2 linked regions of the Lonchura striata genome follow. The protein of the gene in region 1 purifies or fractionates together with the protein of each later gene. This does not show direct contact. Links are inferred from orthologs where the notes say so. Each region holds a gene or a part of one and is shown on either strand. Other genes may lie near its edges.

What was found. The genes of interacting proteins can lie anywhere in the genome.
Region 2: the proteins of UBAC2 (region 1) and TBC1D15 purify together in Homo sapiens (affinity purification with mass spectrometry; 3 studies listed by BioGRID and IntAct, counting the BioPlex papers as one, with this or other methods). This does not show direct contact. The link is inferred for Lonchura striata from reciprocal best matches to the Homo sapiens genes UBAC2 and TBC1D15.

What each region holds. Positions count from the first base shown.
Region 1 is NC_134604.1:78,098,847-78,106,194, forward strand, and holds the start of UBAC2 (ubiquitin-associated domain-containing protein 2), read left to right. Parts: upstream 1-4,265; 5' UTR 4,266-4,333; coding exon 4,334-4,364; intron 4,365-4,844; exon of another isoform or gene 4,845-4,984; coding exon of another isoform or gene 4,985-4,991; intron 4,992-7,348. UniProt on the Homo sapiens protein: Restricts trafficking of FAF2 from the endoplasmic reticulum to lipid droplets.
Region 2 is NC_134607.1:45,544,453-45,551,579, reverse strand, and holds the start of TBC1D15 (TBC1 domain family member 15), read right to left. Parts: upstream 3,036-7,127; 5' UTR 2,967-3,035; coding exon 2,940-2,966; intron 1-2,939. UniProt on the Homo sapiens protein: Acts as a GTPase activating protein for RAB7A. Does not act on RAB4, RAB5 or RAB6.

The DNA.
Region 1 (7,348 bases):
TAAGTACCTTTAGGCAGTGTTTTACAAGTACTTAGAGACCAAGCTGCTGATCAAGTGCTTGGTGCTGCACCTTGAACACAGAGATGCCAACATCTGGGTGCATTTGGTGCCAGTGCTTAGGATCACATGACTGATGGTTAAAAGGGAAGTGATGGTTAAGACCTGCAGTGTAAAACTGTATGTGGCTCAGCTCCAGATAAGCCAGTACCTTAAATTGTTACTGCATTGTCATTGCTTGCCATTCAGGGGGTCCAGCTGAAAAATGAGGCAGTGATGTGTTTGAGTAACTGAAGCAATAGTTTCCCACATTCATGTTACCAGGCACTGACATAGCATTCAGGTTTAAAATAGCATTTTAAATTTTGCAAAAATCACATGGCGAGAACCTTAACTAATGGAACATGTTAGAGTGTCCTAAATTTTTTTATAATAGTGTGATGGAAAATCAATTGCAAAAATATACAACAAAGCCCAATACTCCTTCAGGAACTCCATTGCTCCTTATTAACGGTACGCCTACCAGCTCTACTTGGAAAGAGCTAAGCTAGAAAACATTCTGTATCTTCTAGCTCCAGTAAAAAAACCCAAAACTATGTAATGAAATGTTAGACACACACTAGACTTTAAGAGGACAGGTCTGCTGCAGCATAAAGTATTTTTCACTTCCGAATGAGTGAAAGAAATTCACTAATTTTGGAAAGGTACAGGTCAAATCAGTCTGATTTCAGCAGAGTGAGTATCTGCCTTCTGTCCTTCCTCCTGTTCCAATGCAAGCTGCTATCAGCAAGCTGCTATCAGCAAGCTGCACTGCTCCTGGATTTTTGCAGGAAATGTGTGTTGCACAGCTGTTTTCCTTAACATCTTCTGTAACCAAACACAAAGGTTAGAAACTGTAGGGAGGAGTTACTGAAATCATTAAATTTAGCATTAACCTCTATGTATCTGTTCATATTTCAGGTAATTGTAATAACTGCAAGAGCTGCTATGAATGCCTTGGAAACCCTAGATGTCAAAGAGACAGAGAACACTTGCAATTAACCTGCGGAATCATTAACCTACACCGAGTTTAGTCAGAAAATTCCTAAGCAAGGTGTTACATTTCCATCCTGTTTTACTCTGCTGCTGTCCTTCATTCTATATGCCAGAGGAGCATCTGACTGTTGGAGATTAATTAGTAATTAAGAATTGCTTCAGAAACATCACAAGTTCAGAGAAGAAAGCAACTTAATCATTTTAGAAAATAGCTAGAAATTTAAATTCCAGTCTCCTGGGATTTACTTTTGAGCAGGAAATTTAAATAACTTTCTTTTGACCATACCACATTGACCCCACTAACTAGATGTAATAAACAAATGGGAGATATTCAAGCTGACATTTGAGCAGTGTCAAAGCCTTCTAAGCTTGTTCTGAGTAGATTAGTAGATAAGTGCTAGCCTTCCTATTCTGGGATATGTTCCAAAGCAAGCATGAGGACTGATGATTTCATTTAACTCCAAAGTAGTCAACACTTTATACTTAACAATGCAAATAATTTGTTTAATTCTTATGACATGCTACCAGTTGACAGTGATGATGTTGTGATAAAAATACCTCTCTTCTCGGCACTGAATCTGAGGGCAAAAACTACATTTCCTCTACTATTCAATCAATATGTTAAACTATAATTATTAGCAAGGGATGTGCAGTTTTCTCAAAAATACATAGTGGATCTCATCTGCTGTAATCTCAGAAATATTGACTTTTTTTTTTTTTTTAAACAAGGGATAAAAACATCAGGGGTTTCACAGATTCTGAAATATATTTGTAGACATTTATAAGATAGCAGCAAATAGATTGAGAGACAGTTGCCTGTATTCCAGCAGTATTGACAAATTTGCAAGGGTTTTGGTTTGCCAGATATTGCTACTCATCCAGCTTTGCTGTATCTGTCAATGATAGCAAGGCCACAGAGCTGCTTTCAAACTGGCCCTTAAACATTTCCCAAATGCATCCTCATTCAGTGGAATACATGCCTAAGTCTCTAGTATGTTCAGTGATTATGACTTGAATCCAATTCCAGTGCCCTACATTGCAGAGAAGAATCCCTCTAATATGATTACCTAGCAGTACATCAATCTAGGGAAATCTTCAAAGCAGAGCCTATAAAACAGAAAAATACTAGGTCTTGGCTCTTAGGACTGTAAACTTCTAAATAATGATTGCTCTGTCACTCGATTCTGAGAGCCTGTGAAAAGAAAAAAAAAAACAAGCTTTATCTTCACCACTGAAACAACATTCCTAAACCTATTACAAAGGCAATTCTGGAAAAGTTTAGATACTGGATAGGTTTTATCCTCACCTATAGTAAAGCCAGATCCACAAAAAGGCTTAATTACTTTAAGTGGAGGTTAGTCGAAAACATTCAAAATCGTAATTAATTAAGCCATGAGTACCTCATTAGATCCCAGCTTCAGAAGGCACCCAAGCTTTTCCAAAGAGGTTTCACGCTGGAGCTCTTACAAGCTTTGCAGGCTTTGCACCTCCTTATTTACCTTCCATTTCTTAGAAATGAGGGTTGCCTGTCACTTTTGTGTGGTTACAGGCATTCAGCAGTGCACTGGCAAGACAGAGTTTGCATATGTAGCATACAGCAGCCACAGTCATTTGCATTTGAAAGAAAGAAGGAAAAATTCTGTAGCAAATAATTTCTTCCAGCTGTGCTTTGACAGCAGAGAGTAAGCTGGTTTTCTGTAGCCAAAGACACAAAGTATGTGATGGGTTTCATGCTGTGAATCCAATTTAGATTCTTTTCAGAGGAAAGAACCTCAACTTGGGATAAGTCAGGATTTCTAATGTGCTCTTTGTCTCTTCTTCCTGGCTGGTTTAGACATACCTTCTGCTCTGTGAGCGGATTATGAGTCCCAATCCCACCTACCTGATGCAGGCCTTGTACAGAGAGGACAAGTGAGCAACAGAAATCTGAAGTTAGTGCTGGAAATTGGCCATTTAAAAGATACATGCTGATATGCTAATCTTAGCTGAAGTCTTTGCGGACTGTCGCCTTGGCAGTATTTAAGAGATTAAATTTACAAAGTTTCAGGAACTCAGTACTCTGGAATGCTAGCTAATAATTGCATTTGAATGCAAATATTAAAGTGCATTTTTATGATATATTACAAAATTTATGGAATACAAGAAATATATTACTTACCTAAAAATTTTTATTATTGGTTGCCTACTTAAAAATTGTTACCTAGCTGACAAATTATATTTTGCAGTTCCAGAGTGGCATTGGTTTTCAGTCTTGTACTGCAGTAAGGTAAATGTGATTTGAGGCCCGCATTTCCATCATCACATGAACACAAAGTGCACACAGCTCGTGCTGCAAAGCACTGTCACCTTTTTAAATGCCTAGCATGACTTATTTCAGTAAAATCTGAGTTCTGCATTTTCATTGAAAATGTCAGTGAAATTTGGTGCCCTAATAGTTTCAGCCTTATGATACCATATCTCCTCTGAAATCGGGATTTCAGCTCACCTCATATGGTGAGCTGAAATATGGTGCCTACCATCCTGTTGAAGAGCTGGAGTCAGATGTGCCATCAGAGCCCGTGGTGATCTCTTCAATGTGGTCCCTTGGTGGAGCCTGGGGAGGAATTAATTTGATCCTAAAGCAGACACCTTCATTTGGCCACCTGAAAAGCTCTCCAAACTCCGCTGTCTGTATTAGCTCTGTCTCTGTTAGCTGTAATGACAGCTCACCCACAGCTCTAATGAGACATTTACCTGCTGGACTCCCCAAATCACGGTGAGCCTTGAGGGACAGTTTTCCCAAGTGCAAGGAGTCAGGCTTCCTCAGGGCACCTACATATTTAAAATTTAAATCGTGTTAAATCATGAAATCACAGAATAGTTAGGGCTGGAAGCGGCAGCTTCTGGAGATGGATTAGTCCAACTTCCCAGCCAAGGCAAGGTCCCCTGGAGCAGGTGGCACGGGAATGTGACCAGGTGGGTTTTGAACGCGTCCAGAGAGGGAGACCCCACGCCCTCCCTGTGCAGCCAGTCCCAATGCTCTGCCTCCCTCAGCGGAAAGAGGCTTCTCCCATTTCTGGGAGCAGGAGTGATTCCAGAAAACACACGCGCGCCGGAGCGCCGCCGCTCACCCGCCGGGCCCGGCAGGGGGCGCCGCCCTGTCGCCTGGCGGCGGCGTTTGGCCCATCGCGGCCGCCTTAGCCCTCCCCGCGCCGGCCCCGGCCCCGGCCCCGGCCCCGGCCCCGGCGCGCCGCGGCTCCTCGGGGGCTGCCGAGCTCGGGGCTCCGCCGGCCGCGCCCGCCCGCCGGGCCGGGCCGCGGCCATGTTCACCAGCACCGGCTCCAACGGCTTCTGTGAGTACCGGCCCGCCGCGGTCCGGGCGGGGCGGCGCCCCGGGGTGGGAGCGCGGGCGGCGCTGCCGCCGTCGGCCCCGGGGGAGCCGCTGCCTTCGGTCCTCTCTTGGCTGCACTTTTAAATTGTACGGCGGCGGGAGGAGCCGCGGGTGTGTCTGTGTGTGTGTCTGCCTGTGTAGGTGTGTGCATGTCCGTGTGTGTCTGTGTCTCTCTGTGTGTTTATATGTATTTGCATACATACAGACCTCCATGCCAAGTATCAAAAAAAGAAAAAAAACAAACCTATTTTCTTAATTTGAAATTAGACTTATTTTTAAAACCAGTTTATTGACAAGGCAGACGTAAGGACTAACGTGCCCGTAGCTCTGCTTAGCTTTATTTTTATGCACAGCATAATTATAATGTAAATAATTTCATGTCCCGGTGCTACCTGAACTGACTTCACAGGTTTCTGGGGCTGGCTCTGAGCTTGTTTTACAGGACACAGACTCTGCAGCGTCTGGAAGCAGCAGTGGGGAGCTGACCTGGCTGCAGTGTGCACTTGGGCACCACACACAGTCCTAAGAGAGGCGAGGACAAATGATACGTCAAAGCTTTGCTGCCTGCGTGCTCCTTACAGAATGGGTGGTACTGTCCGTGTGCTGAAGGGCAGGAGGGCTCTGCAGAGGCATCTGAGCAGGCTGGATCAATGGGCCGAGACCCAACAGTATGAGGGTCAAAACGGTCAAGTGCCAGGTCCTGCACTTAGGTCGCAACCAGCCCAGGCAGCACTACAGACCTGGAGAAGAGTGGCTGGAAAACTGCCCAGAGGAAAACGATCTGGTGCTGGTTGACAGCCAGCTGAACATGAGTCAGTGTGGCCAGGAAGGCCAATGGCATCCCGGCCTGTATCAGCAATAGTGTGGCCAGCAGGACCAGGGCTGTGATTGTCCCTCTGTACTCAGCACTGGTGAGGTCACATCTCGGGTACTGTCTCCAGTTCTGTGCCCCTCAATTTAGGAAGGACATTTGGGTGCTGTAGTATGTCCAGAGAAGGGCAGTGGAGCTGACGAAGCATCTGGAATGCATGTCCTTTGAGGAGTGGGTGAGGGAGCTGGGGTTGTTTTGGCTGGGAAAAGGAGGTTCAGGTGGAAGCAAAGTGAGGGTTGCCCTCTTCTCGCAGGTAACCAGAGACAGGACAAGACCCGAGGACTTAGCCTCAAGCTGTACCAAAGGAGGTTCAGGTTGGACATTGGGAGGAATTTCTTCACAGAAAGGATAATTAGATATTGGAATGGGCTTCCCGAGGAGGTGGTAGAGTCACCATCCCTGGAGGTATTTTTAAGAAAAGACTGAAATGTGGCACTCAGTGCCATGGTCTTGTTGACAGGATAGTGTTTGGTCACAGGTTGGATGTAATGATCTTAGAGGTCTTTTCTAACTTAATTGATTCTGTGGTTCTGTTTGAGTGTGAAAGCACCCTCTGACTAGGGGAGGAATATTTCTGGCATTTAAAAAGGGGTGTTAGTTGTAGCTGTATTTTCTGTGAGGAATCCAAAAAAGGGAAGAGTCTTTTTCAGATGGATCTGATAATACTGTGCCTTGATTTTCAGCTCCTGATTTTTTATCTCTCTCTGTGCCCCCAGTAGATACTATAGAGGGACTTTTCAATGGCATATGTCTGTGTATAATTTTATGAGAAAGAATGTAGGAGGAAGAGTATCCTTGTTAGACTGAATGGGTGGAGAGTCATGGTCAGTATTTACAAGTTTTTCCAGGTTTGATCCATCAGAAGGATGAGTGGGAAATGGTTGTCATAAGAAGCATATATGTGGTAGGGAAAAAAACTAGATATCATTCTGCAGAAAGAAAATCATAGAATATCCTGATCTGGAAAAGACCCACAAGGATTATCAAGTCCATCTTCTAGCCCCGCACAGGAGAGCTCAAGAATCACACCATGTGTCTGAGAGCATTGTCCAAATGCTTCTTGAACTCTGTCAGGCTGGTGCTGTGGTCACTGCCCTGGTGAACCTGTTCCAGTGTGTGGTCACTTTCTAGGCAAATAACCTTTCTGACCTAAACCTTCCCTGATACAGCTCCATACTTAGTGTTATGCTTTTTTTTTTTTTCCTTCTCAAAACCAAATACAACATATGTTCTTACTGAACTTACCTGTTGACCTAAAGTGGGTTTTTAAAATAAGATTTGGCTGGTATGGGTGCACTGACAAACTCCAGTAGAGGTATGGATTTAGGTGCAGTGACATATGCTCACCTAGGACACAACTGTGGCAGTTTCAGGTGTCCCTGTGCCCTCAGACTTGCTTCTGTGTGTGCAGCAAATCCCACACAGGAGTGTGGGATTCTGTCACTGATGCACAGAATCTGATTGTTCAGGTAGTTAATGAATTGGTGCCTGATGTTGCACCAGAGAACTGTATGTGTGTATTCTTCCCCTGGGGCTTGGGAACCTCTGGCAGAAGGCAGTGTCAGTGGATGAGGGGACCTGTATGAGTGATCCTGAATGAAATAAGTGGACACCTGGTTCAGCAGCAATAGCAATGATCATGCCAGGGCACACTGAAGGCTCCTGCAGCCTGCTGTGCCACCTCTGACAGACCGATTAACATCTATAATGGTGGAACGAGGAGATGTAAAAGTAAAAATAAACATACCTGGTACATGGTATGACTGTGAGATAGGGAAGCCAGGAAACAAAGGACACCACCTTCTTAAAGGACAAAGACAGTTTGCCTCTGCTGTGGAAATTGTTTCTGTTATCTGGAATATTGGAGGAGCTGGTATGCTCTGGAAAAAAGAGCCAGTGGCTCTGGGTACTAGTAGGAGACACAGTGCAGACATATGCAAATGGATTATAAGAACACCAACCCAGCTGAGCTGGATTGCAATGTGCTCAGGGGCATCCTGGCAGCACCTTTAGGTGGGCTGTGGTGCCCGACCCAGGCTGGTTGCTTGTGTTGGTGGCTTCGGTCCCGTGTACAA
Region 2 (7,127 bases), on another chromosome or scaffold:
ATACCGACAGACTGAAATTGAAGCTTGTACTTCTCCCCATACACAATTTTTAGCTCATTTTCTAACAGTTTTCTGTTATATACAGAGTAGGGTCTCTGAATAAAATAAGCAAACTGCCATTTTTTAAGTAATAAAAAGAGAGAAAATGTACTTGTTTTCATAAAGTATAATATGTTTATAATATATAAATATACCTATTTACATGAAGTCAAAAGCTCTAAAAATAAATGACCTTACTACCAAGTTACTTCCAGAAAAAACTAGCAACTCTAAGAAAGGGCAAAAACTGAAGCTCATACTGTTCTAGGGCAGATAGCAATTTATAAAGAATGAGTCACATCTCCAGAATTCAACTGCAGTAACTTTTCCTGAACCGAGTTAACCATCCATATAGAGAAAAACACTGATAAGAACCTCATGAGAGGTTCCAGCAAGGGAAAAAAAAAAAAAAAAAAAACAGGACAAAAGTCCAAGTAAAGTAGTGATGAGATAACAACATTTTTAATTCATATCCCATGGAGCAGAAACCAGAGACTACATGAAATAGCTGGATTCTGAATCTACTGATATAAATAATGTCTTGGAAATAAAAACAAACAAACAAACAATACAAAACCCAAACAAATAAAACCCCAAAAACCTGCAATAGAGAAGAGAAAGGCAAACAGGGTAAAAATATAATAGAAACCACAATCTTATATGGTTTGCTAAAACAAGTCTTTGTGAAAGTTGAAACAATGCAGGCTATCCCAGCTGCTTAATATACTGCCATGTGCTTTCCATGGGAACCACTTAGTGTAATATTTTGCAGAAAGCAGAACATACGTTAAAATACATTACTTTCATGTGATAAGATCTGCCACATGAGAATAAAGCATCCCACAAACTACCTATTGTTCTTTTGGAAAGCTACCATCTGAAACACCCCATTACAACAAATTGCACAGCCAGAAGGAACACTGCAGTTAACCTGGGACATCCACAACTTGTAGAAACACTGACGTGCAAAAGGCCTGAAGTGAGAACACTGGGTCTGTACCAACCTACACTGCATTTATTCCACCTGAAGTTTGTAAGCCGTTCCAAAATCTTGCTGCCACTCAAAGGAACAATTTGTGGTCCAATGTGCTCCCAACAGAAAACTAAGCCAGATAAAAGTAAGCACAGCTGGATGTATTATTTCAGCCTGCTAGATCTAATCCCTGGCAGATCAAATGAGTACAGTATCCAAGAAAGCAACAGTGCAACACACAGGTGGGGAAATACAGAGAAGGATGGAACTGGTCCTGAGAGCAGTGAAACGTCAAACCAGCCCAGCCACTTCATGAAGTTTGGGAAAACACAACTGTCATTTTTCCTCTGTGTTAAAAGAGACATGGCAAAGAATGTTACTGAATTAGAAGTTGCATTAGTATTGTGGATGTGGCATAACTAAAGCCGTTTTGCAATGTCTTAGAGATGTAGTCTTAGGCAAACAGGGCTCTTGGAAAGGAACAAAGAATACACAGCAAATTTACAAACAACTATCCACAACCATTCTAACATCTCATATAAACCATCATAATACAGCTGCTTTCACAAGAGACATTCTGAAGAAGATCCTGATAAAAGCCTAAGTAGAAAAGTAAAAACAACCTGAAAAATTAAAATATTAAAATATTTATCTAAAAAATTAAAATATTGCCGTTCATCCAATAAACTTCTGTGTTGATATTAAAATGGATAAAACCAGACAAGGAACTTGTCTGTATACATAAAAATTGGATGTGCATAGGTAGAAACAGCTGGGAGGACAGTATGGTTATCTTTTTATATACACACTCAACAGCAGTAAAGAACATAAAAATAAAGTTGCAAAAGCTCCAGCTGCAGAAATTCCCTGCTCCAACAATTCTGGTTGAAACGGATCTGGTAAAGTGGCACAAAGAACTCTACAGGATTTTCGTGCTATAGCTAAGGGCAGCCCTCAGCACCCTCGGAGAAGCGCAGACGTGGCTAATGACGTGTGTTCTCAAATGCCGAGACCAGCGTGAACTGAAACGATCATCTTCTGCGCCGTGCTGGAAAAGTGAAACTGCAGACTATCACACACTCACTCACCATGGCTACTACATACAATCGGACACCACACCGAGATTTTAAATCCTAAATAAAGGGTCCACATGCTTGAGAACACTGCATTGCAAAGCAACACTTTCAGAAGACAGAATCATGAAATAAAACTATTTCTACAAAAAAACAATACGGACGCAATTCGCATCTGTTGACGGGGGCGGAGGGAAAAGTGGGTGTTGCTTGTACCTCCCCCTCCTGCGAGCTCAGTCCCTGCCAAGCAATAATGCTTCGTTCCGGAACGCTCGGCAAGGATCCACGACATACAAAGAATTTTTAATTACCAAATTATAGGACTGACAAGGCTTTGTACCCACGCCGGGGGCAGGTTCCCACACACTACCAGCGCGCAGGCCGGGGGAAAGGCCACTACCGTCCATGAGCACCTCCGGGCCACGCAGACGGGACAAGCCGCGTTCCTCTGCCTCGGGCCGAGAGCCAGCGCGGCCGCAGAGCTGCCGGCCGCGGCGGAGCGGGCTCCTGCCGCCCGGGGCCGGAGCCGAGCTGCCCGGGCGCTGCCCGGCCGCCAGGTGCAGCAAGGGCCCCAGTTCCGCCCGCCGGCCGCCTCGGCCTCCGGCGCTCAGGGCCCGCGGCCGCTGCCGGCGCCCGGCCCGGCCTGCCCGAGGCCAGGACGGCACGTTCCCGGAGAGGCGGCCCCGTCAGGCGACACCCGCACGGCGGGAGAAAAGGCACCCTCACGCCATTCAGCGGCCCGACCCCCCTTCCCCGCGACTCCCGCCAGCTAGCGTGACCCAGCGCCCGACACGGCGCGTCCCGCGGGGGGAGAGGCGGGAGAGGCCGGCGCCGCCGCCGCCCGCCCCCATTACCTTGCCGCTCGGCGGCGCCGCCGCCATGTTGCCCACGAGTGTTTATGGTGACGTAGCACTCCTCACGTGCTTCCCCGCCGCGCCACAACAACGGCGCCACAGCTGCGTGCCGCGCATGCGCACTGCGCGGGGCCAGGCGGAGCCCGGGGCGGAAAGACCGTGAATGGGGAGCGAGGGCTGGCTGAGCCGAACCGCGGCCCGGCACCGGGAGCGAGGGCTGGCTGAGCCGAACCGCGGCCCGGCACCGGGAGCGAGGGCTGGCTGAGCTGTCCCGTTCCCAACTGCGGCCCGGCCCCGGGAGGGGGCTGGCTGCGCTGTCCCGTTCCAGAAGCGGTGGCCGCGGCCCGGCGCTCATGTTGAATCCCAGCACACACGCTCCCTCTGGGAGGCTGGCCAGTGTGGCTGCAGTGCCCAGCCGCGGGCCCCGCGGCGACCCCTCCACAGCGTGCGAGTACGGCGGCGAGGAGGAAAGGAGATTGTTCTTCGTCAGAGCTCCCTGAGATTGCAGTTGTAACTTGAGCAATGTTGTATAGTTGATATAAAACACACATCATACTCTCTCAAATTATTTTCTTTCTCTTTCCGCTGTTGTCATAGAATAACAGAATAGTTTGGGTTGGAAGGGACATTAAAGATCGTCTAGCTCCAGCCACGCTGCCATGGCCAGGGACACCTTCCACTGAATCAGGTTGCTCAAAGCCCCATCCAACCTGGCCTCGAACACTGCCAGGGACGGACATCCAGAACTCGTCTTTGGAACCCGTCCCAGTGCCTCACCACCCACACAGGAAAGAATTTCTCTCTAATATCTAAACCTACTCTCTGCCTGTTGGAAGCCATTCCCCCTTGTCATCCCCTTGCAAAAAGTCTCTCTCCAGCTAACTTTCAGACCCCCTTTAGGTACTGGAAAGTGCTATGAGATCTCAATGTTAATATCACAGTACCCACAGGCACTACTAAGCTGCCCTAATACTCATACACCAGATTTTTAATGTTAGTGAAAAATACAGTACTTTCAAGATGGTAGTTTCTAGCACATAATGCATTCAACACATCAAGGTACAAAGGAAAATCTTAATTACAATCTCATCTATTTTAGCAAATATTCGGCTTTCATACGTGTACAGATTTATAAAGCCCAAAACAATTCTGCAAAACTCAATGGATTTTGATTGGTCTTATTTATCTGAAACAGTATATTATGTGTAGTATTACTTTTAAAAAATTGTCTCTCACATAACGTCTGAAATATAATAAAGATGTTTTTTAAGACATTGGTTATATTCCAACAATACCATCAGATATTTTGAGCAAACAGTACATCCCCAAACACTGTTTATTTGAAACAGACAAATGAGATGCCTGCAGGGAAGTGATTTGTTTCTCTGAAGGAGCAAAGGTAATTTATTGGGTTTTGGGACGGGTTAGTTGGGGGTTTTTATTTCTGTCATAAAGTGGCATTATAATTCCCTTGTGACTTTTTGAATTAAAAACTCATTTAGTTACATTAATACCCATACCATACTTACCTCAGAAAACCAGATTTGCAATTTTCAAGACAAATACTGACCTGCTTCAAAGTTGGAAAAGCCTGTTGTGACTTTTTGTATATAAGCATGCATAAAGATGAGAAAATTAAATAAAAACACAGTCAGATGACAAGTCCTTGTAGTAATACCTAGGTCTGGAAAGCTGTATCAGTGTAGCAAAAAATGGACACCTTAACTTTGGTGGTCCTTTTATTTAAATTTAATAAGGACATGGTGTCCTTATTATTTAGTGTCACAGTAAATACAAGGGAGAAGGCTACACATTAAAAATGCATCACCATAAATTAATTGTTTTGAGGAGTGCAATTGTTTTAGCCATCTTCCACATCAGTTTCATCTCATTTGGTCTCCCATGTGTTCATTTTGATCCTTTCCTTTTCCTACCCTTTTCCTTTGTTTCTTACTCCTTGCAATGTAACCATACCTGAGTTTCACACCCATCTGTAATCCTATTTCCTCTGCACTTCCTTTTCATCTCTAACCTCCCTATAATTTGCAATGAACACTAGGGACTTCTTTGATTAGTTCCATTGCATCCCCTACTCTGGCTCTTCAATGAAACTGCTTTGTCAAGGTTTCTTTCCTAGGAGAAGCTCAAAATTGAGATTCACATTTCCACTTTGTTAGCCAAGCCACAATCTGCAATGACTCCTTGAGATCTGTTCTCTTTACTAGCATGACTGCCAGCTTCTAGTTCTCCTGTCTCTTGGACTTGTTCATTAGCATATTGAATCAAAGCCTGTTTCTTTGTAGGAAATTGTGTCAATAAATACATATTTATCACATGACTCATCACCATATTTCTACCATAGCAATTAATTGTGATCCAAATTAAAATCTCTTATCATTGTAGGCAGCTAACAGTAAAATAGTTTTACTTTCCTCCAAATTCTCTTGACAGTCATCTCTCTCTCTTCAATATCAATAGCCATATGTCTCCAGGGCCCACAGCTTGGTTGATGCCTTAGCCTTAGAGAATATTCTGGACTTTTTCATGCTTTACCTAACTCCCTTGCTGACATTTTCTAGTACAACAGCACTAAATCATAACTTTCCCCATCTATCCACACAGCTAATTATTTTTTCTTGTAACATTCTGTTTGCTGACAGTGACCAATACCATTTTGATATGTCCAGACTTCTGCAGAATGTTTGTGTCAATCATCCAGTCCATATTATTTTAACCCTCTCATCTGAATTCCTCCTGCTCATCTACCCACTCTCACCCTTCTACAGGGCCCAAGATAAAATGCCATTATTCATTTTTAGGACAATTACCGCCCACTCTCACTCACTGCCAAAGGACCTGCTTCTACCCAGTCAGCTCAATGCTAGACTTTGCCTATTATTTGTAAAATTTGCACACAAGTTGTATGAAAGGCTTTTTCCTCAAGCTGACCTTCATGGAGCTGTCAACTAAATAAAAAATTAAAAGTTAAATCCCATTTGTGCTGCTCTCAGCATGCCAGTCACCACTTACCTTGGTGTCAAGGCCAGTATGTTTCAGAGAACTCTCAGTCCCACAGACCAATTTACTCCATGAGATGTACATGTCCATCTTATAGCTACTTACCCAATCTTGGGCCTTCTCCCTTGTTGTTTAGCAAATTATCATTGCATAACAATGTGTACATTGTTACTAAAGATGAGGAGCAAAATTACTCTTTGTTACCAGGTTGCTCTATCAAAGGACTGCTGAAAGGTTGAAACTGGCAGGAATTTTTAGAGATCATCTAATCCAACCCTCCTGCCCAGAGCAGATCACAAATGATTACTCAGGGCTTTATAAAGTTTGAGGTTTGAGAATCTTCAAGAATATACATATCACAACCTCCTCAGTCAAGTTGTTTCATCAGTGTTTGGTTGCTTTTGGAATGCCAAAGCTTTTTCTTATGCTTAAATTGAATTTCTTGTATTTCACTTTGGGTCCATTTTGTCATTGAATACCACTAAAGAGACCAGCTCTGCCTTCTTTACTCCCTCTCATAATCTATTTTTAGACACTGAAAAGATCCTCTGAGCCTTCTAGAGACTGAACAGTCTGACATCTGTCAGCGTCTCTTCATATGACAGATGGCCCATTCTCCTAATTGCCTTTGATTGCCCTTCATAGGTCTCACTCCAGGATGTCAGTGTCTCCATTTTGCCAGGGCATCCAGCACTAGACCCAGCATTCCAGGACTCTCTCTGGAGGGTTGAAGAACTATCATCACCCCTCAGCTTGCTGGCAGTGCTCTTCCTGATGGAGCCCAGGATGGCTTTATTTTCTGGCTCGTGACTGACTTGTGCACAGTTTTTGACACTCAGATACCTTAGTGCAAAACTACTCCCTACCTACATTATTGATGCATTACCTTATTGCACTTTACAAACCTGAATGATACACAACAGCAAGTTCCACAGGCCGACATGATGCTGGCAGGTCCCTCTCCCTTCTCCATAAGCCTATTAAGAAAACAATGGAACAGTCTGTAGCTCTATGCTGAAGTCCAACATTTCACACGCTACAGGAATGGGCATCTAAGGAGGATATCTTTAGCCTGAGGGCTCACTCTTTGTTGGATTTTAATTAACCATCTGCTCTAACACTTCTGTCACATAAAAGGTAGTCACAGCACACCAGCCAGCACTACTGAGC